Linked DNA regions of Macaca fascicularis. The protein of the gene in region 4 interacts with the protein of the main gene of each other region in a biochemical or structural test. Links are inferred from orthologs where the notes say so. Each region holds a gene or a part of one and is shown on either strand. Other genes may lie near its edges. The genes, in order: PTPRB, SREBF2, DUSP3, MAPK3 and PTPRJ.

Evidence for each region.
Region 1: of the proteins of MAPK3 (region 4) and PTPRB, one has a biochemical effect on the other in vitro, tested with the Homo sapiens proteins (2 studies listed by IntAct). The link is inferred for Macaca fascicularis from reciprocal best matches to the Homo sapiens genes MAPK3 and PTPRB.
Region 2: of the proteins of MAPK3 (region 4) and SREBF2, one has a biochemical effect on the other in vitro, tested with the Homo sapiens proteins (2 studies listed by BioGRID). The link is inferred for Macaca fascicularis from reciprocal best matches to the Homo sapiens genes MAPK3 and SREBF2.
Region 3: of the proteins of MAPK3 (region 4) and DUSP3, one has a biochemical effect on the other in vitro, tested with the Homo sapiens proteins (2 studies listed by BioGRID and IntAct). The link is inferred for Macaca fascicularis from reciprocal best matches to the Homo sapiens genes MAPK3 and DUSP3.
Region 5: of the proteins of MAPK3 (region 4) and PTPRJ, one has a biochemical effect on the other in vitro, tested with the Homo sapiens proteins (2 studies listed by IntAct, with this or other methods). The link is inferred for Macaca fascicularis from reciprocal best matches to the Homo sapiens genes MAPK3 and PTPRJ.

Annotation. Positions count from the first base shown.
Region 1 is NC_088385.1:77,295,937-77,301,819, forward strand, and holds part of PTPRB (receptor-type tyrosine-protein phosphatase beta), read right to left. Parts: coding exon 5,875-5,883; intron 3,999-5,874; coding exon 3,735-3,998; intron 2,696-3,734; coding exon 2,414-2,695; intron 1-2,413. UniProt on the Homo sapiens protein: Plays an important role in blood vessel remodeling and angiogenesis. Not necessary for the initial formation of blood vessels, but is essential for their maintenance and remodeling. Can induce dephosphorylation of TEK/TIE2, CDH5/VE-cadherin and KDR/VEGFR-2.
Region 2 is NC_088384.1:9,727,670-9,733,552, forward strand, and holds part of SREBF2 (sterol regulatory element-binding protein 2), read right to left. Parts: intron 5,313-5,883; coding exon 5,120-5,312; intron 4,597-5,119; coding exon 4,415-4,596; intron 1,784-4,414; coding exon 1,507-1,783; intron 1-1,506.
Region 3 is NC_088390.1:64,812,389-64,818,788, forward strand, and holds the start of DUSP3 (dual specificity protein phosphatase 3), read right to left. Parts: upstream 4,928-6,400; 5' UTR 4,875-4,927; coding exon 4,750-4,874; intron 906-4,749; coding exon 679-905; intron 1-678. UniProt on the Homo sapiens protein: Shows activity both for tyrosine-protein phosphate and serine-protein phosphate, but displays a strong preference toward phosphotyrosines. Specifically dephosphorylates and inactivates ERK1 and ERK2.
Region 4 is NC_088394.1:27,974,344-27,980,194, forward strand, and holds part of MAPK3 (mitogen-activated protein kinase 3), read left to right. Parts: intron 1-3,414; coding exon 3,415-3,604; intron 3,605-3,787; coding exon 3,788-3,904; intron 3,905-4,165; coding exon 4,166-4,280; intron 4,281-4,663; coding exon 4,664-4,795; intron 4,796-4,945; coding exon 4,946-5,055; intron 5,056-5,150; coding exon 5,151-5,273; 3' UTR 5,274-5,305; intron 5,306-5,851.
Region 5 is NC_088388.1:17,852,035-17,858,441, forward strand, and holds the start of PTPRJ (receptor-type tyrosine-protein phosphatase eta), read right to left. Parts: upstream 4,306-6,407; 5' UTR 4,300-4,305; coding exon 3,862-4,299; intron 1-3,861. UniProt on the Homo sapiens protein: Tyrosine phosphatase which dephosphorylates or contributes to the dephosphorylation of CTNND1, FLT3, PDGFRB, MET, KDR, LYN, SRC, MAPK1, MAPK3, EGFR, TJP1, OCLN, PIK3R1 and PIK3R2. Plays a role in cell adhesion, migration, proliferation and differentiation.

The DNA.
Region 1 (5,883 bases), on a different chromosome or scaffold from region 4:
TAAGTAAGATGTTAGCCCTAACCTGCAGGAATGGAAATGAGTCCAAATAGCAATCATAGAAGGCAGAAAGGAAAACATACCAGAAGAAATGGCGAGACAAGGTGCTATGTGGGGGTGACACACAACCTTCAGCTGCTGGCTATTAGTTATCAGCAGGAGTTAGTAAAAGCCGTAAGGCAGAGGTGACACTCTGCCAAGATATCGAGAAAAAGGCATTCTGCGTAGAGAAAAACCACAAACCCAGGTACCAAAGGAGGAGGTGCCGGGAGTAGGATGGTAGAAAATTGAGAACTGCAAATCATTCATTATGGTTGAAGCATATTTGTGAGAAATTGAGTACTGGAATGATTTTACATGAAAATTATAAACTTCTATTCTATTTAAACTTCTGCTATTTTGGATTTTCTGTTACCCATAGCCTCACCTGATCCTAATAAATACAAGCCTTGAAGAAACAAATAAACAAACAAACAAAAAACAAGTTCCACGAGTCATCATTCCTCATAAAACACAGCACTGAGTCCCTCTCCATGGCAGTTTTTGTCCTCCTGGGCACTCCTCCGTTTGGTGAATGCCTCACTTAAATTCTAGCATCCAGGACTGAATACAACAGTCCAGTCGTGATCTATAAGCCCAGCCGCTAACAGAGTCATATGAGCTCTTAAACTGAGTACCTGCAAGGCTTTTGGGAAAGGCAGTGTCATGTGCATAGTCTATCGACCCCCGTTTGGCTGTGTAAGAAATGGCCCTTGAGCTTAAGATACTTTCTTACCAAGAGATCGAGAGCCTACACAGCCTGTGCTGGGCTCATTGCCTTGTGTGGGAGTATCGTTCCCTGTTGCAAGCTCAATGTATGCTCTTTTGTTCTGCTTACGCATGTGTGTCACATGGCAGATGGTGAACACCAATGCTACGGTTGTCCTCTGAGGAGACAGGACAGGGTCCTTCTACTGTGACCTGAGAGTGGTGCATTTAGCCAACTGCCCTGCACTGACTGCTGGAAGAGACCATACACAATGTGCCCTTCTGTTTTCTGTTGTTGTCAGGGTTGAAGACAGCAAGTGCATCTCTGGGCAACCACTGCAGCTGGCCATGGGGGACTGAGGCATACTGTTGAGGTTGATCTTACTCTGTCTCCTCCCTATGTAAGCAAAGCTTTGTTCCATCCAGTGCTTGCGTTATGTTTCTCTGGTGACTCTAATACCAGATGCAATGGGCAGAAGTGTTCAGAGTCCTGCCCTGGGTTTGGTAACCAGTGCAGGGTGCTCTGCTTAACAGATTTCATGAACACAGCCCACAGTCAGCCACTGAAAACTCAGCCTGAGCTTGCCATAAACTAAAACTCTTAGTTCTTTTTCACATATTTCTTTTGACACACAAATAACTGCTCTTTGGATACAATGTGGCATAAAAGTTATACTTGTTATAGTATTAATGCTTATTAAAAATGTCTGGCTTTATTAAAATGCTTAAATGTCTAACTTTCAACTATGCATTTTATCAACAACCATTAACTATCTGATCTGATCCCAGAAGCTACTTCTACTGGGTATTATTGAAACACAAATATTTGGATTAAAGTCCCTAAGCTGAAAACCTGTCTTTCTTTGAGGGTGATAGTATCTATCCCAAAATGCCTTTGGGAAGAAACTGGTATGTGCTTCGTCATCAAAGTATTTTTCTCTCAGGGACATACAACAGTATGTCCTATGATCCCTCTGCTTCTAGTTTTGCCTCTTTCGGTCTATTCTCTACACTGTACCCAGAGTAACTTTCTAAAGTGTAAATAATGATTATGATATCTCTGCTGAAATTGAGTGGCTCCAGTTGATCCAAAATAAAGTTCAGAGTTACCATGGAATACAAAACATTTTATTATGTGATTCCCTTAATCCTTACCTTTTATGCTATGGCCAAATAAACTTCTTTCTGTTCCCCTGTTAGTAGATCTTGTACTCTCCCTCCTCTCTGATCTTGGAATATTTTATTCTCTCAACCTGGAATATTCTCCACTTCTTCCCCCGCCTCTACCTGGTAAATTTCTTTCTTTAGGTTTCTATTTGGATGTTTCCTTTTCCAAGAAGTTCTCTTGTATTGGGTCAGATTACCCAACCAGTGCCTCTATAGTACCATTTACTTCCCTCATCATACCCAAAATATAATGTCTAGTTACAAATAGTACGTCCTACCTAATTGTAAGCCCCATGAGGGCAGAGAGAGATTCTTTCTTTATTGTCCCTTGTTGTTAATGTTAAATGAATGAACAAATCTACATAGACTTCTGCCTGAATTCAAATCCAGACCAATCCCATGTAAAAATACGGATTTAATCCAAGCCCTATTTAAGTAAGATGTTGAACATATACTTCCCCTCACTCCATTTGAGAAACAAGAATAGCAAAACATGTCATACTTGTCCTCACAGTTCCAAAAATTGGTTTGCTGTAAGTTTTCCAGGAATCACCACTGACAGTCTTGACACTGAATTGATAGGATCTCCCTGGACGAAGACCATACACAATGCGTCCTTCTGATTTTCTGTTGTTGTAGGGGTTGAAGACAGTAAGTGCATCTCTGGGCAACCACTGCAGCTCGAAGTCATTGTAGTCTGTCCAGTCTGGGGGCCCCTTCCACGTGATGGCCAAGGATGTGTTTGCAATGTCAGCAAATGACATAAGACTGGGAGGACTTGGAGCTGAATATAGGAGAAAGTGAAAAATCACATAATCACATCTATGCCATAACACATACAAAAAAGATAGCTGAGTAACATCAGACACACTTTTAATGTACCTTGTAGGAAGAGATAATATGATGATATAGTAGCAGGAGCTTTCATTAATAGTGTTTATTATGTGTAAGGCACTGTCCTCAAGCATTTTATGTACCTTTTTTTCTTTTTCTTTTTCTTTTTTTTGAGACAGAGTTTTGCTCTTGCCGCCCAGGCTGAAGTGCAGTGGCATGATCTTGGCTCACTGCAACCTCCATCTCCCAGGTAGCTGGGATTACAGGCACTTCAGCCTCCCGAGTAGCTGGGATTACAGGTGCCCACCACTACGCCTGGCTAATTTTTGTATTTTTAGTAGAGACAGGGTTTCCTCTAGTTGACCAGGCTGTTCTCGAACTCCTGACCTCAAGTGATCCACCCACCTCGGCCTCCCAAAATACTGGGATTACAGGCGTGAGCCACGGTGCCCAGCCTCATATATGTTTTCTTAAATATTCATAGCCAGATCTTCCTTACCATGGTGCTGTGGAGCATGAGTGTGCTCCGAATGGGTTACAAGTGTGTGAAGGTATTAATTCCATCAGATTTTGGGGTGCAGAGCTGACACCCACAGACAATTATGTCCAATTGCAGATAGCCTTGTTGATTAACCCCAGGGTGACACACAGACATCTATGTGTGCCCATGACATAAAAACAGTTAGGGTGCACTGGTGATAGCCACACAGTGATGATGTATATGATTATCCCCACTTTGCAGATAAGGAAACTGAGGCCTAGAGAGGCTCAATGACTTGACCAGATTCATAGAGCTAAGCTAAGGACTTAGTTCTTTTGGACCATAGCCTTGTCCTTTATCTGTTGTACCACAGTCCCTTCCCAAGTTCAGGGGCTAGCAAGGGTATACCATTATTGGCTTTATCTCTTGTCATTAAAATCAGAATCAAAATGTGTCTCTGGAAGCTACTTCCCACCACCCCTTGGCCACTGGCACCTGAGCTTCTCACCTGTTCTGCTCTCCGCTGTGACTTTATTGCTGAGATCTCCACTGTGAGTTACCACCCACAGCGTGTACTTCCTTCCGGGAACAAGGCCGTGAAACCGCCACTCCGTCAGGTCCTTGTCTTTCCAGTTTTCCTTCTTTGTGCCATTGGGATTATAGAGAATCAGTTCATAAAAGTCAAAGTCCCCAGAGGCTGGACTCCAGCTGAACCAAAGGCTGTCTGTCATGTTCCGATTGGACCCCCTGAGATGACTCACAGAGGCTGGGACTTAAACAAGAAAAATTCTTAATGAGAACAAAACAGAAACAAAGGCATTCTGGCCCACAGGTGAGAGTATATGCTACGTTGGGCATGTGGGTGAGTTGTACATATTATAGTCAGATCTTGCCTACATTTCAGGCCATTTAACTTTAAGGGCGTATAGACTAGAGATACGGTGTAAATTAAAACAAAACAGGTGGTGACTTCCAGATGCTTGCCACATGCACCCTGATAAGCATGTAAAATGAAATCTTCATAAATGATGAATAAATCGTTGTCATTTAGCTTATTTAAAAAGGCCCAGAAAATGTGTATACAAGGTTCCAGCTCCTCCCCAGTGTGGCCTATGTCATTGCAGCCACCATCCCACAGCAACCCTCTCTGGGTCTCTTTACATCCTCTCTACCCTCCTTTAGGTTCTCAGTTCTTTTGTGCCCTTTCTTATAAAATCTGTATTGGTATAACTTCATGTAGGGAGAGAAGTGTTTACAGTCACTCCTATCATTGTATAGATTAGTCATGCTGCCATCCATCCCAATAGCTTTGCTATTCTTTGGAGAATGAAGACTGTTGCCACATTGGAGGACTTCTAAGCATTAATGAGCAGGTGAGGAAAGATGTGCAAAGGGCTGCCTTGGAAATGATGACGGGTAGGCAATTCTATCTGTGGTTGAGGCTTATCGCAGCTCTTTTTCACTCCTTTCAAAAGACAAACAGAACTTCTGTTGGCTGCCCTTGGAATATGTTCCCACCTGGCTCCCTTCACCTTTAGTTCTCTGCTGAAATGACTTCTCCTATCTAAAGTAGTTGCTTGTCCTGCCAAGTCACTATCATGACACATCATTTTTTTCATAGAATGTAAGGCATTCCCAAATCATCTCCCTTTAATGATCTGTCCCCGTCCTCTTCCCTCCCCGCTATTCCAGAGTTCTCTGAGGGCAGCGCCCTTGACTGTCATATTACAGCAGTGGGCCATGTACCTGGCACAGAAGAGCACCTAAAACTATTGTCAAATGAGAAAAAAGAATTGAATAGGTAGGCTGGGCATGGTGGCTCATGCCTCTAATTCCAGCACTTTGGGAGGTCGAGGCAGAGGACTGCTTTAGCCAAGGAGTTCAAGACCAGCCTGGGCAATATAGGGAAGCCCCCATCTCTATAAAAAATAAAAATTAAAAGTTTGCCATGCATGGTGTCATGTGTCTGTCGTCCCAGCTGCTTGGGAGGCTGAAGCAAGAGGATCACTTGAACCCAGGAGGTCGAGGCTACAGGGAGCCATGATAGCATCACTGCACTCCAGCCTGGGCAACACAGCGAGAACTTGTCTCAAAAAAAAATTTTTTTTGAATAGGAGATAAAGGACTCAAATTATGGGAAAAGGGTAGATTCTGTTTTTTATTTGCAGCCCAGAGAGATGTCTCTCACTTTCCTGGAACTCTGTGTTTTCACTTCATCTAGTGCTATGTTTCTAATTCACAGCAGTCACTGCCTGTTTGCTATATTTGTGGTTGCCCTTCTCTGCTCCTGCTCTCCTCTCCATCTATTTCTTGTTAGAAAGCTGCAGGGTATGGCTTGAATTAAACTATGATAGGTTACAGCCCTCTTGTACAGTTTGATGTCAAGAGGAGGAACCACATTCATTTTTTTACCAAGCCCTAGGAAGTAAACAAGTGGAGGCAAAAGAGCAGAAGCTAGTGCAAAAACTGGCCGCAAATTAGTTACACGTAATCAAACGTGCGATTTAGGGTCAAACAGCCTGAAAGTCACAAATGTCATATAAAGCTACATCCTGAATAGAAGAGGAAACTAAGGACCAACCCAGGAAAAGCCAGTGAATACCGGGACAATTCCCCACGATTCATTACTGCTTGGGTCTTGGTCTTACCTGTTCTAC
Region 2 (5,883 bases), on a different chromosome or scaffold from region 4:
CTGCCCTTGCTCCTCCAACACTCAGCCTCTCAGTGTCTCCTCAGACCTCTCCAAACTGCTCCTCTTACACAGCCTCTGCCCCTGACTCCCCGTCCTCTATCTGTTCATCTCTGTGTGCATGCGCAGTGGCACGATCACAGCTCACTGCAGCCTCGACCTACCTCCCAGGCTCAAGTGATCCTCCCACCTTGGCCTCTCAAGTAGCTGGAACCACAGGTGCACACCACAAAGACCAGCTAATTTTTTGAATTTTTTTGTAGAGATGCAGTATCCCTGTGTTTTCCAGGCTGGTGGGAAACTCCTGGGCTCAAGCGACCTTCCTTCCTTGACCTCCCAAAGTTCTAGGATTACAGACGTGAACTGCTGTGCTAGTCTTTCTCCTTTTCTGCTGTGCCAGTCTTTATCCTTTTCTTTCTTTTTGAGATGGAATTTTGCTCTTGCTGCCCAGGCTAGAATGCAGTAGTGCCATCTTGGCTCACTACAACCTCCACCTCTTGGGTTCAAGTGATTCTCTTGCCTTAGCCTCCCAAGTAACTGGGATTATAGGTACGTGCCACCACACTTGGGCTAATTTTTGTATTTTTAGTAGAGACAGGGTTTTGCCATGTTGGCCAGGCTGGTCTCGAACCCCTGACCTCAGGTGATCCACCCGCCTTGGCCTCCCAAAGTGCTGGGACTACAGGCATGAGCCAGCTACCATGCCCAGCCTGACTCTTCTAAACTTGAGAAACACAAACCTGATCATATCACTATTTTCCTAATGCTCTTCACTGAATCCTACTGATACACTACAAGATCCCCAGCCTGGCATCCAAATCCTTCATGGTCTGAGCACTGCCTTTGTGCCCTGGCTCCCTCTAGGACCACTGAAGACTTATTCCCAAGAGCCATCCCAGGTGGGGCTCCTCCTTGGGAACATCCCTCTGCCCAGAAGGCTCATATCCTGCAGAGCTGGTGACCTCTTATGCATTCTTCCATGCAAAGCCAAGACTCTTACTTCCCTAGAAGCCTTTCTTGAAACCCTCCAAACAGGTACCCACTCCCTCCCAACGAAAACATGTTCCTTCTGCTAAAGTCTAACATACTCACACTGAACTGTCATTCATTGCTGACCTCTCTGCCTTTCTATTATAGCAGGAGCTTAATGAATGAAATAAATGATCATATTTCATTGACTCTAAGATGTCAGCAATTTTAAATCTCACCATTAATTTAAGTATCACTAAAGAAAAACACTGCCACTTATCTACAATGTGCCACTGTTTATAGGACACATCCTGAGTATAGTGATGTTACTGTGAAAACATGTGCATCCGAGAACTGATGAGCTAAAGCAAAGAGCCATCCTTACAGCTGTGGAAACAGGTAGAAGCTTGGTCTAGCCACTCTAAAAGAGCAGCATTAAAAGGACTTCAGCTAGGGTGCAGAACTGGCAAATCAAGCTAAGGAGGAGAGGTAGCATGATATGCCTTGCAGCAAGCCAGGCAGCAGCAGCCGCCCCGTCACCTGTGATGTGCAGCTGGTGCAGCCGGTGATAGGCCAGAGCCGCATCCCGGGCGCTGGTCTTAGCTTCATCTTCAAAGCCTGCCTCAGTGGCTGGCGTGGCCCGCCGGCACTGGAAGACTTTCTTGAGCAGCCAGCGCACCAGGCGTAGCTTCTGCAGGCTGTAGCGGATCACGTTCCAGGAGAGGCTGCAGGCCAGGTCCAGGCGGGAGGTGGGCAGTGCTCGGCCCAAAACTGCCAGGCAGGTTTGTAGGTTGGCGGCAGCAGCTGCAAAATCTCCCTACGAAGTATCAAGAGGTGTTAACGGTCACTGGCCTTGCTCTGGCTTTTTGTTTTGATATAGACTTCTACTCCCTTCACTCCCCATTATCAGAGGAATTAGTGCATACTCATAAAAACAAGGGAAACTTCAGAAAGCTACAAGAAAGTAAAATAAAACCACCTATAATCTCATTCCCCAGGAAGAAGCCCTGCTGACATTCTGAGGTATTTCCTTCCAGGCTTTTTACTCGATTGAGATTGTACTGTGTTCCTTCTTTGAGCAAATGCTGGTCAGAGTTCCCTCAGAGTGGCACTTTATTTATTTTTTATTTTTTTGTATTTTTAGTAGAGACGGGATTTCACCATGTTGGTCAGGCTGGTCTCGAACTCCTGACCTCAAGTGATCTACCTGCCTTAGCCTTCCAAAGTGTTGGGATTACAGGTGTGAGCCACCGCGCCCAGCCAGCAGTATCTTTTAGACATGAGACAGGTGACACAGATTTAGATGAACTGCATGATCCTTTAGGCTTTCAGGGTCTCAAAGTGCGGCCCCCAGAGGCCAGTAGCATCAGCTCTTAGGAGCTTGTTAGAAATGCGAGCACTTGGACCTTACCCCAGGGCTACTGAATCAGAACCTCTGGTGTTGCAACCCTCTAGGTGATTCTCATGCCATGTCTGCTAAAGTGTTTTTCTTTTCATTTTTAGAGATGGGGGTTTTGCTGTGTTGCCCGGGCTGGTCTTGAACTCCTGGGCTCAAGCAATACCCACACCTCAGCCTCCCGAGTAGCTGGGATTTACAGGTGTGAGCCACAGTACCCGGCTTCATGCCTGCTGAAGTTTGAGAACCATGGTTTCAGGCAAACTCACAGCTAAACTACCCTACTCTAGGATTCAGATGAACTAATCTTTGTCAACCTGAGAGGGTCTAGTGGAGAGTCTTGGCACTGCACTGAAGAACGCTTGCCTTCTCTCTGTCACTGTTGGAGACTATAAGACAGGCTAAGACAGGCTATACAGTCTTAGGAAATTAAAGTAAATTATCCTATTTTCCTCTATTGGGCAGCTGGTACACTACCTGTGTTTTGTTTCCCACATCATTACAGGACTGGATAAGGGAAAAGAAAAGATGTCCTCAGAGCAACAGTCTCTAAGGTGGCTCTATCTTTTCCGTCAGAAGTACCTGCAACTTGAAGATTCAAAAGGAGGCAGGTGTTCCCTGGCTCCTCCCCTGCCTTTCCCTCAAAGGTGCGCTATTCCCAAGTCCCAGTCTTTGGCTCTCACCCCTCCTGACTCCCCAGTCCAGTTCTCCCTAAGAATCCTCTCCTGACAGACAAGCTTCTCAAATACTCTGGCCCCGCCACTCCTCCATCCCCATGGCCTGCCTCCCAATCACTGCTCACTCTACAGAGGCCTCTTCCAGCTTTTCCAGGCAACATGGCCTAGATGGAGTCCACTCCATTTTGGAGCCTCTCTTACCCTTGAGTCAATGTCACTATCACTTCCCTTCCAAATACTACATTTCAAATATTTATTCAGTTCAAACTTTTCCTTTTAATTCCAGGTCCTTGCCATCATCTCTTACTCAGCCTATTTCATAGAGCCCCCTGACTCAGCCAGGTGTGGTGGCTCATGCCTATAATCCCAACATTTTGGGAGGTCAAGGTGAGAGGATCACTTGAGCCTAGGAGTTTGGGACCAGCCAGACAACATAGTGAGACCTTGTCTCTACTTAAAAAAGAGCACCCTAACTTGTTTCCATGTTCCATTCATTTCACATCTCCCTTCTACCTATCCTTCACAGCCACCAGAATGATGCTTATAAAACACACACTTGAACCTGCCTCTAGGATATACATCTTGGGATGTTATGCTCAGGGAACAGGCCTCTTAAAATCACATCTACATTCTGAGACCCGTAGCCCCAGCAAGGCTGACAGATCCAGGATGGCCAATCAGATTCTCACTAATGGCTCTGCAGCTTGCAGAGGTGGGGAGGGCATGCCCATGGCTCACTGCTGCTGAGGAGTGTTCTGGTTCTTGTTCCTCTTAAAATGTGGATGTTTAACTCTTCCTCAATGCTGTGAGTTGCCCCAGAATTTTTTCCATAAACTCCCTGTTGATTTCAAATGAAAACTTTCAGCTAGTTTTCCTGCTCAAAAACCTTCCCTGGTTCTATAAAGAATTGGGAATAAAGCCCCAAATCAGTTCCCAGTGAAAGCCCTCTCCAATTTGGGCCTAGACACACTACCAGCCTTTGCCTTCAACTCTCTGTGACACACCCTACACTTAACATACCCTGGAACCTGCCAGTCACCAAATAGCCTGTCTATTCATGCCTTTGGGTGGGTCCTTCGGCCACCTCCGCCCTTCCTTCCTGCTCTTGGCAGCCCCGCTCAAGCCCTGGAACCCCTCCCTCAGAACCCAACTTTATTATTCCTCTGTCATACCAGAGACATAGATCATCTCATGTCCCTGGAATTAATTATCTATGCAGAGGCGCCCTCTCCACTGCCCTGTGACTGTTCAGCAGCAGGGTCCCTTTTTCCTTTCAGTTACCACAAGTATCTATCATAGGACTTTCTTCGACATGAGTTGCTGAATTATTGGTCAAGTCTAGGGGAGGATGGGGAAGGGCGGACACAGAACTCACTCTGGCGAGATCCAGGTCTGCCTGTTTCCGGTGCCTCCAGAAGGTGACCGAGGAGCGGGAGTGTGGCCGGATCACTGGCTCCCCATGGACCAGCAGCTTCACAAAGACGCTCAGGACAATCACACCATTTACCAGCCATAAGAGAAGAGTAGGCATCATCCAGTCAAACCAGCCCCCAGAACCTAAGAAGGAGTATCTCAGCAGAGCCTGCCAGGAAAGGCCTTGCGGAACAGCCAGGCACCTGACAGACCCCAGCACTATCACAGGAACGAGTCTTCTACCGTATTTTCAGAAGAAAGGGTGAATAATTCTATAATCTAAACGGGGCTAATGACTGTAGCCCTTGTCATTATGGAGCTGAGTGCCACAAAAATCTTTGTTAGCTTGAAAGGGTTAAGGCATTGGTTTTGCAACCTCAGGTAAAAAACTCCATATCCTCCTTCAAATAGGTACCACCCCTCCACGCCAGGGTATTTAGAGTAGTGTGGGTCCCTGATTTGTTTTGCTCATTCTGACTGAACTTGGGCTTGCCTTGTTACTTCCAAAACGGAACTTATGCCAGTCCCTATCAGAAGCAAGCAGGTGGGGGCCCACTATAAAACCCCTTTGGGACCTGGTAGCCAAGCCAAGAAGTTTGTACACAGGGTCCTTCTCCTGCCATAGTGGTCCAGCCATGCCCAGGTGGTGTAAGGGGCCGCCACTTACCTGACTCAAATGACAGGACACTGCGGCCAGAGCCTGAGTGTGGGTGCTGGTCAGAGTCGTGAGCCCCTCCCCACTGCAGCAGGGAAGTCAGGGGGTTAAAGGAGAGGCACAGGAAGGTGAGGACACACAGAAGAATCCGTGAGCGGTCTACCATGCCCAGTGCCACAGGAGGAGAGTCTGGCTCATCTTTGACCTTCAAAACAAGGCCTCGAGGTTGGAATAAATACTGCATAGGTTTTTACAGCACTTTATAAATACATATATATATTGAGAAATGGTTATGAGGTTTAAATTCAAGTCTATTAACTCAGGACTAAGGCCAGATGGGAATTGAGAGGCCTATAATTCACTAACTGCTGCTCAAACATTGGCACATTCACCTGCTTGCTAACTGAGAAAAGTACATGTGCCAAAGAACAAAGGTAGAAGAGATTTTCTTTTAAAATAGAGCTCTACCACAAAAGAGAACACACTGTATGATTCTGTTTCTGTATAATTCCAGAACAGGCAAAATGAATCTAAAGTAACAGGAAACTGATGAATCAAGTAATTGTCTGAGGCTGGAGAGGGGTGTGGGAAACTACCTGCAAAGGTGTACAAAAGAGCTTTTTGGGGTGATGGAAATGTTCTATATCTTGATTATAGTGACAGTTACATAGCACTGTACATTATGTTAAAACTCTTGGTACTGTACATTTAAAGTAGGTATATTTTATTGCATTTAAATTATACCTCAATAAAGTTGATCAAAAATCATATTTAGT
Region 3 (6,400 bases), on a different chromosome or scaffold from region 4:
ACTCAAGAGGCTGAGGCAGGAGAATCACTTGAACCCAGGAGGTGGAGGTTGTGGTGAGCCGAGATCGCGCCATTGCACTCCAGCCTGGGCAACAAGAGTGTGACTCCGTCTCAGAAAAAAGAGAGAGAGAGAGAGAGAGAAAAGGTGGGAAGAGATAGCTGCAGTGTCTCATCTGCTGTACTTTGTCCTGCTTGGATGTGGTGACCAGATCCCATCTTGGGACCAGGACGGGAGCACCCAACACTGAGGTGGCAGAAGAGAGAAAGGGAAAGGGCCTGGTCCAGATGCCACCACGGAACTGCTGAATCAACCAGCCCCTATGCTCTTTCACCTCAGGACTTCCTGCCATGCACATGAACACATGAACACGTCTTCCTCATCGTTACAGCTGTTCGAATGGGGGATGTGTAAGCAACTGGAAACCAACCTCCAGCCAAAGTGCAATCAAATGCAAGGACCCTGGGGCTGCCACGGTGTGAATGAGTTGCACATCCTGTGACACATGGGGCCACTTGACAGGCAGCCAGGTGAGCAGAGAGAGACCTACAGCTCTGTCATTCACCCCAGAAGATGGGAAACAAGGAGGTTTCCAAGAAGACACCTGTTGTGGGCCTGTTTTCCAGAGGGATAGTCTAGTCAAAGCTGCCTCCCATCTTTTCCTGGCGGGAGGTCCCTTACCATTCTTTTGAGCCAAAGCCTGGTCGATGAAGTCAGCAGCCCTTTCAAAGTAAGCGCTGAGGTTGAACTCCTGTGTGTCATTGGCCTTGATGCCCAGGTATGTGATGCCGGAGTCCTTGTAGAAGTTGGCATTGGTGTTGACGTGCATGAAGGACCTGCCCTCAGCCGCGTTCAGAACATGGGTGATGCCTAGTTTCTGCAGCTTGGGGATATCCTGAGCCACAGACCTGGACGGGAGACAATGGTGGGGATGATTAACCAACCAAATGGCAGCCCCAGGGGGAGGAAGATGAAGGAGGATTTAAACCTCTTGGCAAAGCAAGGAACCCCTCCATGCTCTGGCCCCTGCCGGCTTCTCCTGCCTCAACTTATGACCTCCTCCCTGACTCTGGCCATATCGAATTGCCAGCAGCTTCCCCAAATAGACTGGTGGTTTCATAGCCATGCTGTTCCCTCTGGAATGCTCTTTTCCACCTTTTCTGGAGAAATGTGCCCTCTCATCTTTCACACCCTCTGCAGTGTTTGTCTCCCCTCCATTCCATTTGGCCCCATGCTCCCTAAGCTGTGGTGGGGGTGTACATAGCCAACTGGTTACAAATGGGCTCTGGAACCAGACTAACTGGATCTGCACCCAGCCCAGGTACTAGCCAGGCAACCTTAAGAAGCCATTTAACCTTTCTGTGCCTCAGTTTCCCTCTCTGTAAAATGGGGATAACAGTGCCTTCTCCCTGAGGTTCTTATGAGCATTAAATGGGCTATTCCGTTGACAGAGCCGGACATGGTAGTGAGCACTACGATTCTAATGCTTGATTGTGCTTCTGTGTTTAGACATCCAGGCTTTGAGCTCCTTGAGAGAGGAACCATGTCTGCTTTAAGTCTGTTTCCCCACCACCTGCTATAGTACCTGCCACATAGTAGGTGCTGAATAAATAAGTGGTGAATGAGTGTAGAAAAATAAATTTGTCATGCGCCAGGCAGCCCCCTCCCTGCCCCCTAGAGGGATCCTACCTACCACCTTCCACTAGCTACATTTCCAAAGCTCTTTTGGGTGATTTAGTACTTGGGGAGTAAGTGGCCCCAACAGAACTATGGGACGTTACAAAATAATTGATCTAAGGCTGGGTGCAGTGGCTCACACTTGTAATCCCAGCACTCTGGGAGGCCGAGGCATGTGGATCACCTGAGGTCGGGAGTTCGGGACCAGCCTGGCCAACATGGTGAAACCCCGTTTCTACTAAAAATACACAAATTAGCCAGGTGTGGTGGTACAGGCCTGTAATCCCAGCTACTCGGGAGGCTGAGACAAGAGAATCACTTGAACCCGGGAGTTGGAGGTTGCAGTGAGCCGAGATTATGCTATTGCACTCTAGCCTGGGTGACAGAGTAAGACTCTGTCTTGAAAAATAAAATAAAATAAAATAAAATAAAAATAAAAATCATAATTGGTTTGAATGGTGAAAAGGCCCTTTTATTTCATCTCACAAAACATCCCAGCCCAAATGGCAGTTTATACTTTATAAAATGTCACCTCCTATGTGATCTTGTTTGCTTACTGCGAGCAGCCCTGTGAGGAACAAGGATGGCAATATCCCCGCTTAACAGAGCTTGAACTCAGGGCCAACAGGATGAGCAGAGGGATGAGCACAGGCCCCATGTGCTGCCGGTGGCAGAGCTGGGGGAAGATCTCCTTTCTCCCGACATCCAGCCCTGCTCTATCTTACACCTCACTCTGCCTCTCATGCCCACATCTGCTGCAAAACCCCCAAGGCCTGGCAAATGTGGCTCACACAGGCTCTGTCTCTGCCTTGTGAGGACATGGCTGCAGCCCTGATTTTGTTAAGGGGATGGAGCCCAAGTCCTCTTGGTGCTTGGTGCTCACTGATCCTTCCTGTTGAGGAACCTCCACACCCCTGGCCAAGTCAAAGTCAGATGTGCTTAGAGGGCAAGGGATGTATTTTCTACAGGGGCCATCAGCAATTGCCACTCTGGCTACACCAGACGTGCACAACCTTGGTTTCCACTTGGGAAGTGATGACAGCTGAATGACCAAGCTGCCCAAGCAAGCGGCGTTCCTGAGGCTAACAAGGCCTGCTTGCTGCTTGGGGCAAGAGGAAGGGTGTCTCTAGAGCTTTGCAATTCCTGAAGCCTTTGGCTGACACTGTGGGACTCTGTTTATTCCTGCTTAGGACACTGCACAAGACTGTAAAGCAGTGGCTGATAGAAAAAAATCCTTTGAAGAGTCACCCCCATTCATCTCCCTTCTCTAATACTTTTTTTTTTTTAGATGGAGTTTCACTCTTGTTGCCCGGCTGGAGTGCAATGGCACGATCTCGGCTCACTGCAACCTCACCTCCCGGGTTCAAACGATTCTCCTCCCTCAGCCTCCCAAGTAGCTGGGACTACAGGCGTCGGCCACCACGCCCAGCTAATTTTTGTATTTTCATTAGAGACAGGGTTTCACCATGTTGGTCAGGCTGGTCTTGAACTGCTGACCTCAGGTGATCCGCCTGCCTCAGCCTCCCAAAGTGCTGGGATCACAGGTGTGAGCCACCGCGCCAGGCCTCTAATACTATTAATAATTCAATATTCAAAAAATTTACCATTATCATTATTACTATCTCTACTATGAATGAACATTGTACAGTGCCTGACATAAAGTAGGCGCTCAGACTGGTGAATGAATGATGGAATGGATGAGAACTGTCCCCATGAGGCTAGGGCCTGATGGACCCCTTCTAGTTCCACGATGAACCCCATTTCTGTGGCAGTCCTTGGCAGGCTGAACAGCAGGTCCTAGCAGAGGTCAGGAAATACATACATGAACAAGACATTGACCCTGTCCTTGTAGTCCCTCACACACTCTGAGCCACCATTTCCTCCTCTGTAAAATGGGAGGAGGGTTAGTTTTGAATTTTCAACATGCCATCCTTGGGCTGAGCCATGGAGCTTAGGATTTTGGTAACTGGGTCCTCAGAGTCTCATGAAAATCCAACCTGAGCCTTTCCAAGGCTGTACAGGCATGCTAATCTATTCTTTCTTGTGGCTCCTATTTCACATCTCAGAATTCTAACACTGGTTCTCTTCTGCTGATTAGACATTCTTACTATAAAAAATTTTAAAATTTAAATTTAAAAAAAAATTCTTACTGGCCAGGCGCAGTGGCTAACGCCTGTAATCCCAGCACTTTTGGAGGCCGACGCGGGCAGGAGTTTGAGACCAGCCTGGCCAAGAGACCAGCCTGACCAATATGGCAAAACCCCGTCTCTACTAAAAATACAAAAATTAGCCAGGCATGGTGGTGGGCACCTGTAATCCCAGCTACTCGGGAGGCTGAGGCAGGAGAATTGCTTGAACCCAGGAGGCAGAGGTTGCAGTGAGCCGAGATCGCGCCCTCCAGCCAGGGTGACAGAGCCTGGGAGTGAAAGGTCAAGAGCCTTTTCTAGGTAGTGGCTCAGGTCCTTAGGGGGATTATCAGTGGACCGTTCTAGAATCTCCTGTAAATCAAACCACATCTGGAAGGTGGGGGCCTGGAAATCCCGGCCCAGCTCCCCGGACTCGCTCGTTTGGGGTGTTTAGGTTCCCTGATCCGGGACTGCCGGGCCAGGAAAATTCCATGCCCGAATTGTGACGTCGGCCCGTTGCCATGGCGGCGAAGGCAGACATTCCGCGGTGACCTCACTGCAGAACCAGGCAGCTGTCACATGACGCGCTGGCAGGAGACCGGCCGGGCGACCGAGGGCCACCTGTTAAGTGAACATGGTAGCCCCGACCCCGCCCAAGGCCAAGCCCCAAGGGGGTGGCGGCTGAGGACCCAGGCAGGCGCCCCCCGGGCTCCGTGCACCCCGCGACGGGGAATGGCCGCGCCCGGCCAGGCAGGGTTCCAGTTCCTTGGCCCCACGCGCTGGGGTAGGCGTCGACTCCAGCCACCTCCCAAGCCCCCGCTGTGGCTCCCGGAGGGGCGATCGCGCCCGGGCTCCCCCAACCCAAGACTCGCGACACCCCGACCCCGGCCTCGAGTGGGCGGGGCGTCCCGAGAGGGACGGCGGGGCCGGGCTCACTGGGGGGACTCACGCGTTGCCCACGTAGATCCGCGGGGTGACCTCGTTGCAGGGTTGGCTCGGGAGGCTGTAGCAGCCGCTGCCGTCCGAGAGCAGGTCGTTGAGATCCTGCACCGAGAGCTCGAACGAGCCGGACATGGCGGCGGCGGGGCCCAGCAAGCCCGGCAGGAGCAAGCGAGGCGGAGAGCGGCGGGTCAGCTGGGCGGGGGCTCGCTCCGGGAGCCGCCCAGTCCCGCCCCAGGGGCGGGCCCGCAGGGCTCCGGGAGCTGAGGAGCGCGGGCGCCGTGACGCGGGGGCCCAGCGCGCCACTCCTGGGCGCGTCCCCGGGGGGAGACGCCACCGCCCTCGAGTCTCGGGAATCCTCGCCCCATCCCGGTCCAGGCCGTTTGTGTATCTTTGTAAACTGGGAAGCGCGGTAACTTCCTTCCCTGAATTAAATGCAGGGCCCAATAAACGTTTCTGTGGCGGGGGTACACCTAGAGGTTCCTTCAGTCTTTCAGGATTACAGGGACCGCGGGGTTCGGCTCGTGAGCGGCTCCCTGCTGTGGAGGCATCACCCGGGCGCTTGACAGAATCAAGCGCCCAGGTGATTGCTGGAAGAGTTAAATGTGACATTCAAGGAAGGCACCCAGCACTGCATGGCGAGCACTCAATAAGTGTTGGTCCTTCATCAACAAATGCGTTGAGCACCCAGTGGGTGCTACACCCTGTGCTGGGGTGGAGATCAATCAGACTCCTGCAGCCCTTCCTGGAGCAGATGCCAGCCCACCATAAGCCACTCAGCATTTCCTGAACTCCCACTAAGTACAAAAGATAGTCTGTACTGGAGGAAAGCCGCCCTCCCCTACTGCCATGAAAGACTGGCAGTTCCCTTCCTGCAAAGAGCAAATTTGGCCTTGAATTCAGGAACCCCACATCCTGAGCCAGCCCTGCCACTAATTTGGTTCTTTTTTTTTTTTTTTTTTTTTTTGAGACGGAGTCTCGCTCTGTCGCCCAGGCTGGAGTGCAGTGGCCTGATCTCAGCTCACTGCAAGCTCCGCCTCCCGGGTTCACGCCATTCTCCTGCCTCAGCCTCCCAAGTAGCTGGGACCACAGGCGCCCGCCAGCTCGCCCGGCTAGTTTTTTGTATTTTTTAGTAGAGACGGGGTTTCACTGTGTTAGCCAGGATGGTCTCGATCTCCTGACCTTGTGATCCACCCGTCTCGGCCTCCCAAAGTGCTGGGATTACAGGCTTGAGCCACCGTGCCCGGCCTAATTTGGTTCTTGAGTAACATGGCTGCTGCTGTGGTCTTCAGTTTCCTCATTTGCAAAAGGAATTGGATCAGATTATCATTAGGGTCAACTTTCTCCTCCCCCAAAACTTGTGGTCTTGCACCTTCAGGCAAGCTATTGCAGTGGAGACTACTTAGCTGATAGCCCAAGATGTGTAACCAAGGCTGGAATTTCTGTACCCCTCACCCCACCCCATCCCTGGCCACCCCTCCCAGCACACCACTCCTTTCCTTCTGGTGTTGGCTGGTAGCATCTGCATTCTAAGCAGGGGAGAACGCTTTCGAGTTCCTTGACTTGAGCCTAGGTTAGCATTAAAAACACAAGCCCAGAGGCAGCCAGCCATGCTCCGCTGCTCCTACTCCCTTCCCGGGACCTGTCCCTGATGTCATAAC
Region 4 (5,851 bases):
CAGCCGGGCAATATGGCCTTGAGCAAGTCAGTTCTCTGCTCTGTGCCCCAAGGGGGAGGGCTAGACAGGATGGTCTCTATGGGAGTGTTGTCTTCTGACATCGGCAGTTCTGAGACATGACCCAGCTTCTGCCCACAGTCACTTCTTGCTAACAAATGGATGGTTCTTTCCTCTCTTTCCTCCTTCCCCAGACTGGAAGGGAGACAGGGAGAAAGCAAACTGTCAGCTGGGCGTGGTGGCTTATGCCTGTAATCCCAGCACTTTGGGAGGCTGAGGTGGGCAGATTACCTGAGGCCAGGAGTTGGAGACCAGCCTGGCCAACATGGTTAAACCCTATCTCTACTAAAAGTACAAAAAAATTAGCAGGGCATGGTGGCGCATGCCTGTAATCCCAGCTACTTGGGAGGCAGAGGCAAGAGAATCGCTTGAACCCAGGAGGCGGAGGTTGAGGTTGCAGTGAGCCAAGATCGTGCCACTGCCCTCCAGCCTGGGTGACAGCGTGAGACTCTGTCTCAAAACAAAACAAAAACAAAAAAACTGCCTTTCTTGAGGTCCTACTGCGTGTCAGGTACTATACATGCCCAATGCTTTTTTTTTTTTTTTTCTATTACACCTCCCAACTACCCTATGAGATAGGCTTTGCAGCTTCATTTCAAAGATGAGGGCAGGGTGCAATGGCTTACGTCTGTAGTTCCAACACTTTAGAGGCCAAGACCAGAGGATCAGTGGAGGCTGGGAGTTCAAGACCAGCCTGGGCAGCATAGTGAGACCCCATCTCTACAAAAAATTTAAAAATTATCCAGCTTTGGTGGTGCATGACTGTAGTCCCAGCTACTTGGGATGCTGAGGCAGGAGGATGGCTTGAGCACAGGAGTTCAAGGCTACAATGAGCTATGATTGTGCTACTGCACTCCAGCCTGGGGGACAGAACGCGACCCTGTCTCAAAAAAAAAAAAAAAAAAAATGAAGAAGCTGAGGCCCAGGAAACCTAAAATCAAGTGTTTCTGTTGCTGTCTCCTCCTCCCCTCCCCCAGATGGAAACTTGTCCTTCTTAGGACTTCTCACTCAGAGCCACACCCTAATCACCTGTGGACTTGCACCTTGCCCAGGGAGGGACAGCCTAGCCTTTGTTGTCCTCCCCTGATACTGCTTTCCTAGTTTGCTGTCCACTTCCTGTCTGGCTCTCCTTAGCAACTTGTGACACCTGTCACCTCTTCCCTACCCCACCCACCCACTCTCAGTCCCAGCCCTCCACCCAAGAGCGGGGATTTGTATTGCGGTGTCTGCAGCCCCCACCACAAACTGTGGACAATTGGAAATCTCTGTGCTCACCCCCATCTCGCTGTGTGGTCTGAAGCAAGTCACTGCGTCTCGCTGGGCCTCCCCAGCTCTAAAACAGCAGGGCTGGTCCACATATCCTCTGAAGACCCTTTCAAGGCAGATTCTTATTTTCTTTTTTTTCCTTTTTGAGATGGAGTCTCCCTCTGTCACCCAGGCTGGAGTGCAGTGGCTGGATCTCAGCTCACGGCAACCTCCACCTCCCAGGTTCAAGCTATTCTCCTGCCTCAGCCTTCCAAGTAGCTGGGACTACAGGCGCCCGCCACCACGCCCAGATAATTTTTGTATTTTCAGTAGAGACAGGGTTTTGCCCTGTTGGCCAGGCTGGCCTCGAACCCCTGACCTCAGGTCTTCAACCCATCTTGGCCTCCTGAAGTGCTGGGATTACAGGTGTGAGCCACTGCACCTGGCCTCAAGGCAGATTCTAAAAGACAGCCCTGACTTATTTTTCCAGAGACAAGCCAAACGGCATTTGTGGATTTATTTATTTATTTACGCATAAGCTTTGTTTTATCTTCAAATAGAAAAAGACATTTTACTCCTCCATCTTCTGAGGTATGGCCAAGCACTCTTCTTTGAGTGGGAGTGTGCTATTGGGAGTGTCTCCTCATTTTTCTTGCACAAACCATTCCCATAAGGCAGGCATTTATTTTTAAGCAAACATTTATTGCATGCCAGATGGTGTTCATACATTATCTCATTTAACTCCCTCAACAGCCATGTGACTCAGGCATTGATATTAGTAATAATAGTTCATGTTTGCCTAGCACTCACAACTTGCCTAGCACTGGGCTGACAGTTTTACATGCGCCATCTCATCTAGTCTTCACAACCACCCTCAAAAGAACCATTATTTCATGGCTCGCACCTGTAATTTCCAGCACTTTGGGAGGCCGAGGTGGAAGGAACACTTGAACCCATGAGTTCAAGACCTGCCTGGGCAACATAGCAATAGCCCGTCTCCACAAAAAGAAAACAAACAGGCCGGGCGCGGTGGCTCAAGCCTGTAATCCCAGCACTTTGGGAGGCCGAGATGGGCGGATCACGAGGTCAGGAGATCGAGACCATCCTGGCTAACACGGTGAAACCCCGTCTCTACTAAAAATACAAAAAACTTAGCCGGGCAAGGTGGCGGGCGCCTGTAGTCCCAGCTACTCGGGAGGCTGAGGCAGGAGAATGGCGTGAACCCGGGAGGCGGAGCTTGCAGTGATCTGAGATCCGGCCACTGCACTCCAGCCTGGGTGACAGAGCGAGACTCCGTCTCAAAAAAAATAAATAAATAAAATAAAAAGAAAACAAACAAACAAAAAACACATTATTTCCCCTACATACCAGATGAGAAAGTTGAGGCACAGACAGGTTGAGCTCCTAAAGCCAGTAAGTAGTAGAGAGGAGATTTCAGACTTCCATGGGTTAAGTCCAGAGTTGCTGCTCTTTTTGTAGTTTTCTTTTTTTAATTTATTTATTTATTTATTTTTGAAACAGAGTCTCACTCTATCATCCAGGCTGGAGTACAGTGACATGATCTCGGCTCACTACATCTGTCTCCCGGGTTCAAGTGATTCTCGTGTTGCAGCCTCCCGAGTAGCTGGGATTACAGGCACATGCCACTGTCCCCAGTTAATTTTGGTATTACCAGTAGAGACAGAGTTTTGCCATGTTGCCCAGGCTGGTGGTCTCAAACTCCTGGCCTCAAGCGATCCTCCCGCCTCAGCCTCCCAAAGTGCTGGGATTACAGGCGTGACCCACCACTCCTGGCCCAAGTTGCTGCTCTTAACTGTGAAGTTCTCCGGCCTCCCACAGTTTATTATTATCCCTGTTTCCCCGGTAGGGAAACTGAGGCCACAGAAGTGAAGCCCCTTGCTCAGGATCAGCAACGGTGACGCGACAGAGGCTCAGAGCCCTGCCGCTGGGTAACGGCAGCAGCTTGCCCAGCTGGTGGTGCAGGTTGGCAGATCTATTGAGTCCCAGGGGCCCTGGCTGGAGGAGATGTGCAGCCTCGCCTTCAGAGCCTGTTTTCCTTAACCAAGTGCCTCCCGCTGCCCCCTCCCCGGGGGTCTCCGGAACCATCCTCAGCTACATTGTGCAGGACCTGATGGAGACTGACCTGTACAAGTTGCTGAAAAGCCAGCAACTGAGCAATGACCACATCTGCTACTTCCTCTACCAGATCCTGCGGGGCCTCAAGTACATCCACTCCGCTAATGTGCTCCACCGGGATCTAAAGCCCTCCAACCTGCTCATCAACACCACCTGCGACCTTAAGGTCAGAGGGTTGGGCACCTGTCCCCTCCTCCCCCAGGGTCTGGGGCTTCCAGGTGACCAGTAGAAGCCTTGGGCAGGAGAACATTGCAAGCAAGGGGAACAGTGGAGGCAAAGACAAGGGGGCGTGACTGCTTAAGCTGCAGAGGCCTTGAGCACCGAGCTTAGCAGCTTGGTCTGATTCCAGATTTGCGATTTCGGCCTGGCCCGGATTGCCGATCCTGAGCATGACCACACCGGCTTCCTGACGGAGTATGTGGCTACACGCTGGTACCGGGCCCCAGAGATCATGCTGAACTCCAAGGTAGGAGGGGCTGCCCACTCCTGAAGGGAAGGGACCAGGTCCCAGGAAGCCCTGGAGCTACCTCCGAGCCAGATACCGACCCCCATGACACAGGAATTCCACCCTCTGGGCCTTGGGCTCTGCAAGGAAGCTGAGCATTGAGCCCTCCAGGCCTCTGCCTTCTGCCTGGTGTTGGATCTAACTTGGAGATGGTGGCTTGGTGTAGAAACAGGACCCTGTTGAGGCTGGCCCAGGAGCCCACCACTTCCTCCTCTCTCCCAGGGCTATACCAAGTCCATCGACATCTGGTCTGTGGGCTGCATTCTGGCTGAGATGCTCTCTAACCGGCCCATCTTCCCTGGCAAGCACTACCTGGATCAGCTCAACCACATTCTGGGTGAGGGAGGCCCGGCTGGCTGAGTGGGGGATGATTACCTTCTCCAAGGTGAGATTTCTCAAGAGTCCAAGTCAGGGATACCACCACGTGTGGGGCGCCTCCAGCATCTCATGGTATCTCAATGAGGTATAGATATTATCCCCATTGGATAGATGGGAAAAGCAAGTCTAAGTCCCACACCTAAGGAGGCACCAGACCTAGGATTTGAGCCTCGGTCTGCCTGAATCCAGCCCCCTTGCTCTGCACCACCATGCTAATGACTAGGAGGTAACTGAGGGATTGGCATGGGTTGCTGGGCTGGGGGTCTTGTTCTTGCCTTGTTGCCTGTTCTGTTCCCAGAAAGAAGGAGGTGATCATTTACCAAGTCACCTCCTTATCCACAGGCATCCTGGGCTCCCCATCCCAGGAGGACCTGAATTGTATCATCAACATGAAGGCCCGAAACTACCTACAGTCTCTGCCCTCCAAGACCAAGGTGGCTTGGGCCAAGCTTTTCCCCAAGTCAGACTCCAAAGGTTTGAGAGACATGAGGACGGGTGTGGGATAAACCCTGGGTGCCATGGAGGGTACGGGAGCCCAGCAGCAGCTGGAGGAGACAGGCAAAGTGATGCTTCTGGGAGCTTCTCCAGTCTTCCCTGTGACCCCTGACTCCTGCCCTTCTATAGCCCTTGACCTGCTGGACCGGATGTTAACCTTTAACCCCAATAAACGGATCACAGTGGAGGAAGCGCTGGCTCACCCCTACCTGGAGCAGTACTATGACCCGACGGATGAGGTGGGCCAGTCCCCAGCAGCAGTAGGGCCAGGGGCAGGGGGGTAAGTAGGCATCCCCCATGCCAGGCCTGAGCCTTGCTGTCTCTGCCACCCCAGCCAGTGGCCGAGGAGCCCTTCACCTTCGCCATGGAGCTGGATGACCTACCTAAGGAGCGGCTGAAGGAGCTCATCTTCCAGGAGACAGCACGCTTCCAGCCTGGGGCGCTAGAGGCCCCCTAACCCAGACAGACATCCCTGCACCCTGGGGCCTGGTGAGTGTCCCCATGGCCGGCACACAGATACGCTGATACTAAATACCTGTATCTATATCTATCTATATCTCTATCTGTATCTGTATCTATATCAATATCTATATCTGTATTTGTATGTGCCTCCATATAGCAGCAAGCTTACCCTGCACCCATGCTCGGTGTGTCTGGTGACAACAGAAGTGCCCGGGGGCTGGGTGCAGTGGCTCATGCCTGGAATCCCAGCACTTTGGGAGACTGAGACTGAGATGAGTGGATCACCTGAGGGTCAGGAGTTTGAGACCAGCCTGGCCAGCATGGCGAAATCCCATCTATACTAAAAATACAAAAATTAGCCAGGCACAGTGGGTCACTCTGGTAATCCCAGCACTTTGGGAGGCTGAGGCGAGTGGATCACCTGAAGTCAGGGGTTCGAGACCAGCCTGGCCAATGTGGTGAAACCCTGTCTCTACTAAAAATACTAAAATTAGCCGGGTGTGTAGGCATGCGCTTCTAGTCCCAGCTACTCAGGAGGCTGTGGTGGGAGGATTGCTTGAACCCGGGAGGCGG
Region 5 (6,407 bases), on a different chromosome or scaffold from region 4:
CAAAAAAAAAAAGTGGGGCACAGCGACTCACGCCAGTAATCCCAGCACTTTTGGGAGGCCAAGGCAGGTAGATCACCTACGGTCAGGAGTTCAAGACCAGCCTGGCCAACATGATGTAACCCCGTCTCTACTAAAAATACAAAAAGTAGCCAGGTGTGGTGGCACATGCCTGTAATCCCAGCTACTCGGGAGACTGAGGGAAGAGAATCAACTGAACCCAGGAGGTGGAGGTTGTGGTGAGCCAAGATTGCACCACTGCACCCAGCCTGGGTGACAGAGTGAGACTCCCTCTCAAAAAAAAAAAAAACAACAGCACCTATCTCTTGGTATTTCTGAAATGGCCAAATGAGATAATGCATTAAAACCCTTAGCACAGTGCCTGTCATGCATAATGTTACCTATTAATTATAATATCATCAGTGGCATTATATTAGAAGGGAAATACACAGAAAATTGCCTCTTATCCTGCACTCAAAATAATTCCCTAGCCCAAGAAGTGAATGAACTGAGAAGTAATTACTGATGATCCTCTGGCTACACCCAGGCCTACGGTCATTCAGCCACTCTGCCTCAGCCCCAACCCCAAGCAAAAATTACTTTTAGGAGCTAAATAACCCCTTTCCTGACCAAAATTGCTCATTCGGAAGCCAGGATCCTCACTGCTTAGGAAAGCTTGGGTATTCCACGGTTATCTTTATCCTGGGGCCGAACTTAAAGTCAGCTCAAAGTCACCGTCTAACCATAAACCAATTTGCTCTGTTTTCGTAAACTGTCTGCAAACAAAACATAATCATCTGGTTTTCCCGTTGTTCTGAAGCAAAACAAAAATATTTAAAGTCACTCATATGAGAATCTAACAAGCAGTTTAAAGAGGAGTCAAAACATATTTTGTACTCTGGATGGAACAGGTAAGGAATCAGGCTTAAGGATTAGCCATGATAGATAATAAACCCAGTTATTATTCACTAGGAAACAAGAAAGTGAAGATAAAACAAAACCAAAACACTACAAGACCAATAAAACAGCTATTAGTCACCAGCTTTTTTTTCATTTATTCTTTTAAAATCAGCCCACATCAAGCTGATTTCTTAAAGAACCTGTCAGGATTAAATTTCTCAAGAGAAGGAAGCAGGAGGAAATCTGCTTTGTCACATTGCCTAAAACATACCCACAAACCAAAACTAGTGTGCAAAACTGCTATGAGAATGGGAGGAGTCAGACACTGCAACCAGCAAAGTCCTCATGTTGGAATCATTTCTGACCGTCCTTCCTGTCTTAGAAAAGGGGAATGAGATGCCAGTTCAAAAACTGCTTTTCCGGGCCTGCGAAGTACTGAGCCTACCAGCATCTCAGCTTTCCAGCTTCCACATCCGCCCTTATTAATGTCCAAACAGAGCTGTGTCTTTTCCATGACTTGTCCATTTGTTTAACCTGGTAGAGTTGATTCCATTTTATAACACACACACAAGCACATACACACACAATCCAGGCCTCAGAAAACCAGTCGGCTTTTAGGAAGGTAGTCACATACTCTTGTTTCCTAAACAAACTTCAGAAGTATCTCAAATTTGATTCGACTTTGAAAAATTCCATTCACACTCACCGTTTTGAGAAGACACAGTGATATGTCGCTATCATTAAAAGTAAGATCAAAGTGAAAACACGAAAAAAAAAAACAGCACTTTGAAAATACAAGGCCCAGGCAGGTGACCCAGGTTCCCAACTTGTCTTCTCTAATGCTTTGCTGGGTGACTTTTGCCTGCTCCCTGTCTTCTCTGGACCTCAATATCCTCATCTAAGAGCTCTGAGGGGTTTCAGCTATCTTGAAAGTCTGGTCCAGCTCAAAAAGGCACTGATTCCCTGAAATATCCATTATCAAAATGAACTGCTGAATGTGGATTTTGAAGATGCTTCTTCTGAGAGCCTTTTAGATTTCCTATTTCATAATGTATCCAAAAAAAAAAAAAAAGAAGAGAGTCCTTTTGAGGTTCTACAGAACAAACCATAGAGGAAGGAAATATTTAAATACAGGACAAGTGTAGAGTGGCAATATGCTAATGAAATACAAGGAAGGATTGAGCAAGCAATAAATTTACCCAAGAAACTTTTTGCTGATTGAAAGCACAGCTAGCAACCAGTATGGCTGGAGCAAAACAAAAAATTATATTTATAATTTAAAATTTTTTTTGCTGAAGCGAAAAAATAAATTACATATATATTTAAAAACAAATGAAGCTTTAAGTTGGGAGGTTTTCTGTTTTTTGTTTTTTGGGGTTTTTGTTTGTTTTAGCATAAACTTTGATACAAGAAATCTTCAAATGCAAGGCTTTTTTAATTTCAGACACTGCTTCCCTGAATTTCCTTGCATGGTCAGGGAGAAGACAGCCCCCCCACACACTGTACCTTAATAATGAGAATCCCATCTGGAAACCCTTAATATTTACAAAGCTCTTTTAGACATTGGCCAGCGGAAGCCCCTCAAACAATTCCATCGGGAAGGGGGTGCTACACCCATTCTACAGATGCTGTTAACTGAGGGTAGAGGAGCCTGAAGAGGAAGTCCAGCCCTGCGGCCTGGACCTGGAGCCAGTCTCCTGACATCTACTCCAAGGTTCTCTGCAGGAGGTCACATTGCCTTCCGGCCCCCAGGAAAGCCTGTGCAGAACCTGCTGAGGAAACTGCGAGGAGAGACCCCTGGATGCCGAGGGTCACGCAGCCCCTAGGCCCAAGCCCCTTTCTCCTACTGCCTGCTGGGCGGCATTTCTGCCCCAGGGAGATGCTTCTGCTCTCTCCTGTATTCAAGCTGGAGAAGTTTTCCCTGAAACCAGGTTCCATCCCCAGTCAATAACTCATTTCCTCAGAGATGGTGTCTGTATAAACCAAGCAAGACGGTCATTTGCAGAAACGCACAGCAGGGCAGCCCCAGGCCACTTCCCCTGCGAGTTCAAACCCCGATAGGCTCCAGAGGCTGAGAGAACGCGCCCGCTGGCTCAGCTCCCATGGCACGGGCTGGGTGCTCCGCTCTTTCACTTCTCTTCCTCAGTTCCCCATCTGTGAAATGGGAATGCCCCTCAGCTGCCCTGCCTCACCCCCTATGGAAATGCCAGGAAGGGGAAAGGTCGGTCACCAAAACGCCAGGGACAGCATTATCCGAAAAGTGAAGCAAGACAAGAGGGCGGGGGTGGGGTGGGGACGGGGAGCCGGCGCCCACAAAGCACGAATTAAACACCCATGAAATCAAGCACGACGCCAAAAGGGCCGGCTACCTTGAGAAAAGCCAGCGTTCGGCCACCTTTTCCCCGGCCTGGGAACTTTCCCCAGAAACAGCGCCCTCGGCCCCGAGTCCCGTGCCTCGCCCAGGGCCCCACTGCCCAGCTCCTGGCCCTGCCCTGGCGCCCCCGCCGCCCCTCGGGCCCCTGCAGGCCGGGTCGGAGGTCGGTCGGCAAAGGCTCGGCCAGGCCGCCCGGCACTGCGTCCCCAGACCTCCGCAAACACGCCCCCTCCGGCCGCCTCGGGCTGGCAAGCCGGGCCCGTGCCGGCCAGATGTGCCCAGCGCCGGGAAGAGCCGGGCCGGGGACCGCCTGGAACCCGCGCGGAGGCTTTCCCCGGGAGGCTCGGGCACCGCGGAACCCGGATCCCGCCTCCCTCCCCCTGATCCTGGGCAGCCGGAAAAGGGCTCGGTCGCCGGCGTGCGAGGCCGGCCGGGGTCCCCGCAAGCCGCCTTCAAGAGGGGGGATCCGAGGATCCGGACCCTCGCCCCCTTCCATGGAACCCCCCAGGCGGGGTACTCCCAGGCAGGTGCAGGCAATGCCAGTCCCGCCCCAGCCTCCTGGCCCCCGCCCGAGCCCACCCGGCGCTTACCTGGCCCAGGAGCAGCAGCAGCAGCAGCAGCGGCAGCGCCCAGCGCAGCCCGGGTGAGCGCGGAGGCAGCCGCGCCTCCCGCGCCGCCGGCTTCATGCCCCGCGCGCCCTGGAACGTGCCCGGGACGCGCGAATCGGGCCCCGCCGTGCGCCCGAGCCCGGGCACCGTCGTCGCCGCCTCCTGCCGCCTCCTCCGCCTCCTCCTCCGCCAGCCGGTCCGCCTCGTCCCCGCTCCGCCCGCCCCGGGCTTCCCCGGGGACATGGCAGCGGCGGCGGCGGCCGCGGCCACACGCCGGAGCCTGGCGCGGCTGCCGCGGGGGGGCCGCGTCCCTGAGCGCGCAGGGGCTTCGCGGGGCGGAGCGAGCGGCGCCCACCCCCAGTGCGCGGCTCCCCGGTCCCGGCTCCCGCGGCTGCTCCCGCTGCCTCCTCCGCGCGTCATGCGGCTGGGGCTGCAGGGAGCCGCGGCGAGCGCTCGGCCCCCTCCCTTCCCCTCCCCCTCTGAATATTCATCGCTTCCTCCCGCCCCGGCCGGCCCGGCGGCTGCCGAGCTCCGCAGCCCCTCGCCGCCGCCCGCCGCTGCCCCCGCCCCCTCCGAGCCGGCCGCTGCTCTCCTCCCGCGGGCAGAGGAAGCGCCCCCGCCTCGCCCGCCCCTCCGCCCAGCCCTCCCACATTCCTGGGACTTCGAGCCCAGGACCAGGCTCCGTGGCTCTAGCGCCTCGAGCCGGCACCCCTCAAGACGGGCTCCCCTTCTCTCACCCGGTCCACGGCGCCGGGTTCGGGTAGGCAGAGGTTGACCGAGACCCCTGCTGAGAGCGCAGCCAAGCCTTATTGTATACAGCATCCCGGCGAAGGCGCGCTTGACCTGTCCCTGGGTGGGCTTGGGGGTGCGTGAACCCAGAAATTGTAGGAGGCACGCTGTACATTGTGTTCTGTCCCCCAGACCCCGAGCGCCGGCCAGGGAGGCAGAGAGCCCAGTAGAGGCCAGTCCAGGGATTAGAACCCCAGCGGTGGCATATGGTGGACCGGGCTCTGCTGGCAGTACCAGCTCTGTGAACTCTGGAGACGCATTTCTCCTCTCTGGCCGCTCCCACACCCACCTCTCCTCCCGTGTGAAATAAAGATCGTACTAGGACCTGTGTAGAGAGAGGTCCACTGCACTCACGATTAGACGGGACAGTGGTTAGTAAAGTCCTAAATACCTGGCCTGACACATCGTGGGACTCCACATATGTTAGCTCTTCTGGAAGCTTTCATCACGTTGTTAAAGAGGTCCATGAACTGACAGGAGTTAAAAATCACAGCAGATATTACTCCTGTGCCCATGCACAGAGGAAGACGCTAGGATCAGGGAGGCTAAGCCACTTGCCCAGGAGAAGCCGCGAGAGAAAGGGCCAAACCAGAGAGTGCTAAGGAGGAAGAGGTTAATTCCAACCAGGAGAGAGGTGACACCTGAGCTGGGCTTTGAAGGATGGGTTGAGTTTCACCAGGCCAGTAGAGGGGAGAAGTGTCTCAGGAGGTGGGGCCAACTTGGCAGAAAAGAGGCAGCAGATGCTTCAAGCTTGGCCTTGGGAGAAACAGGAATGGGAGGCTGGGGGATTCATACAGGGAGAGACTTCAAAGGCCAGGATAATGAGTCTAGGCTGGATTCTGTGTGCAGACCACCAGGTGGCCAACGCTACCTCCAGACACCCCTTGGGTCTCAGGTTACCATCTACAAGATGGAAACACACATTCACGTACAGGGTCTACGTGGCTCCCACCAGACGACACACCCAGAGAAGCACTAAGGATAAAGAAACTTGGCCGAGCCGCAGGATGGCTCACGCCTGTAATCCCAGCACTTTGGGAGGCCGAGGTGAGTGCAACACCTGAGCTCAGGCGTTTGAAACCAGCCTGAACAACAGAGTGAAACCCAGTTTCTACAAAAAATACAAAAATTAGCCGGGTGTGGTGGCACACGGCTGTAGACTAAGCTACCCGGGAGGCCGATGCAAGGATGGCTTGAACCTAGGCTGCAGTGAACCAAGATGGCGACATTGCACTCCAGCCTGGGGAATAAGGTGAGACCATGTCTCAAAAAAAAAAACAGGCTGGGCGTGGTGGCTCAGGCCACGCCTGTAACCCCAGCACTTTAAGAGGCCAGGGCAGGCAGATCATTTGAAGTCAGGAGTTCGAGACTAGCCTGGCCAACATGGGGAAAACCCATCTCTACTAAAAATACAAAAATTAGCTGGGCGTGATGGCGCGCCTGTAATCTCAGCTACTTGGGAGGTTGAGGCAGGAGAATCGCTTGAACCCGGGAGGCAGAGGTTGCAGTGAGCCAAGATTGTGCCACTGCACTCCAGCCTGGGTGACAGAGTGAGATTCCATCTCAAAAAAAAAAAAAAAAAGAAACCTTACCTATGGGTTTACACACCTTGCCACCTTTCATTTAAACACTATGTAATTATCATAATTTACAAGGATTTTTGTTCCTCCGTGCCTCCTCCCCTCTTAAGCCAGAGACATAAAAGGTGTTCACGTCCATGATACCCAGAGGGAAGGAAA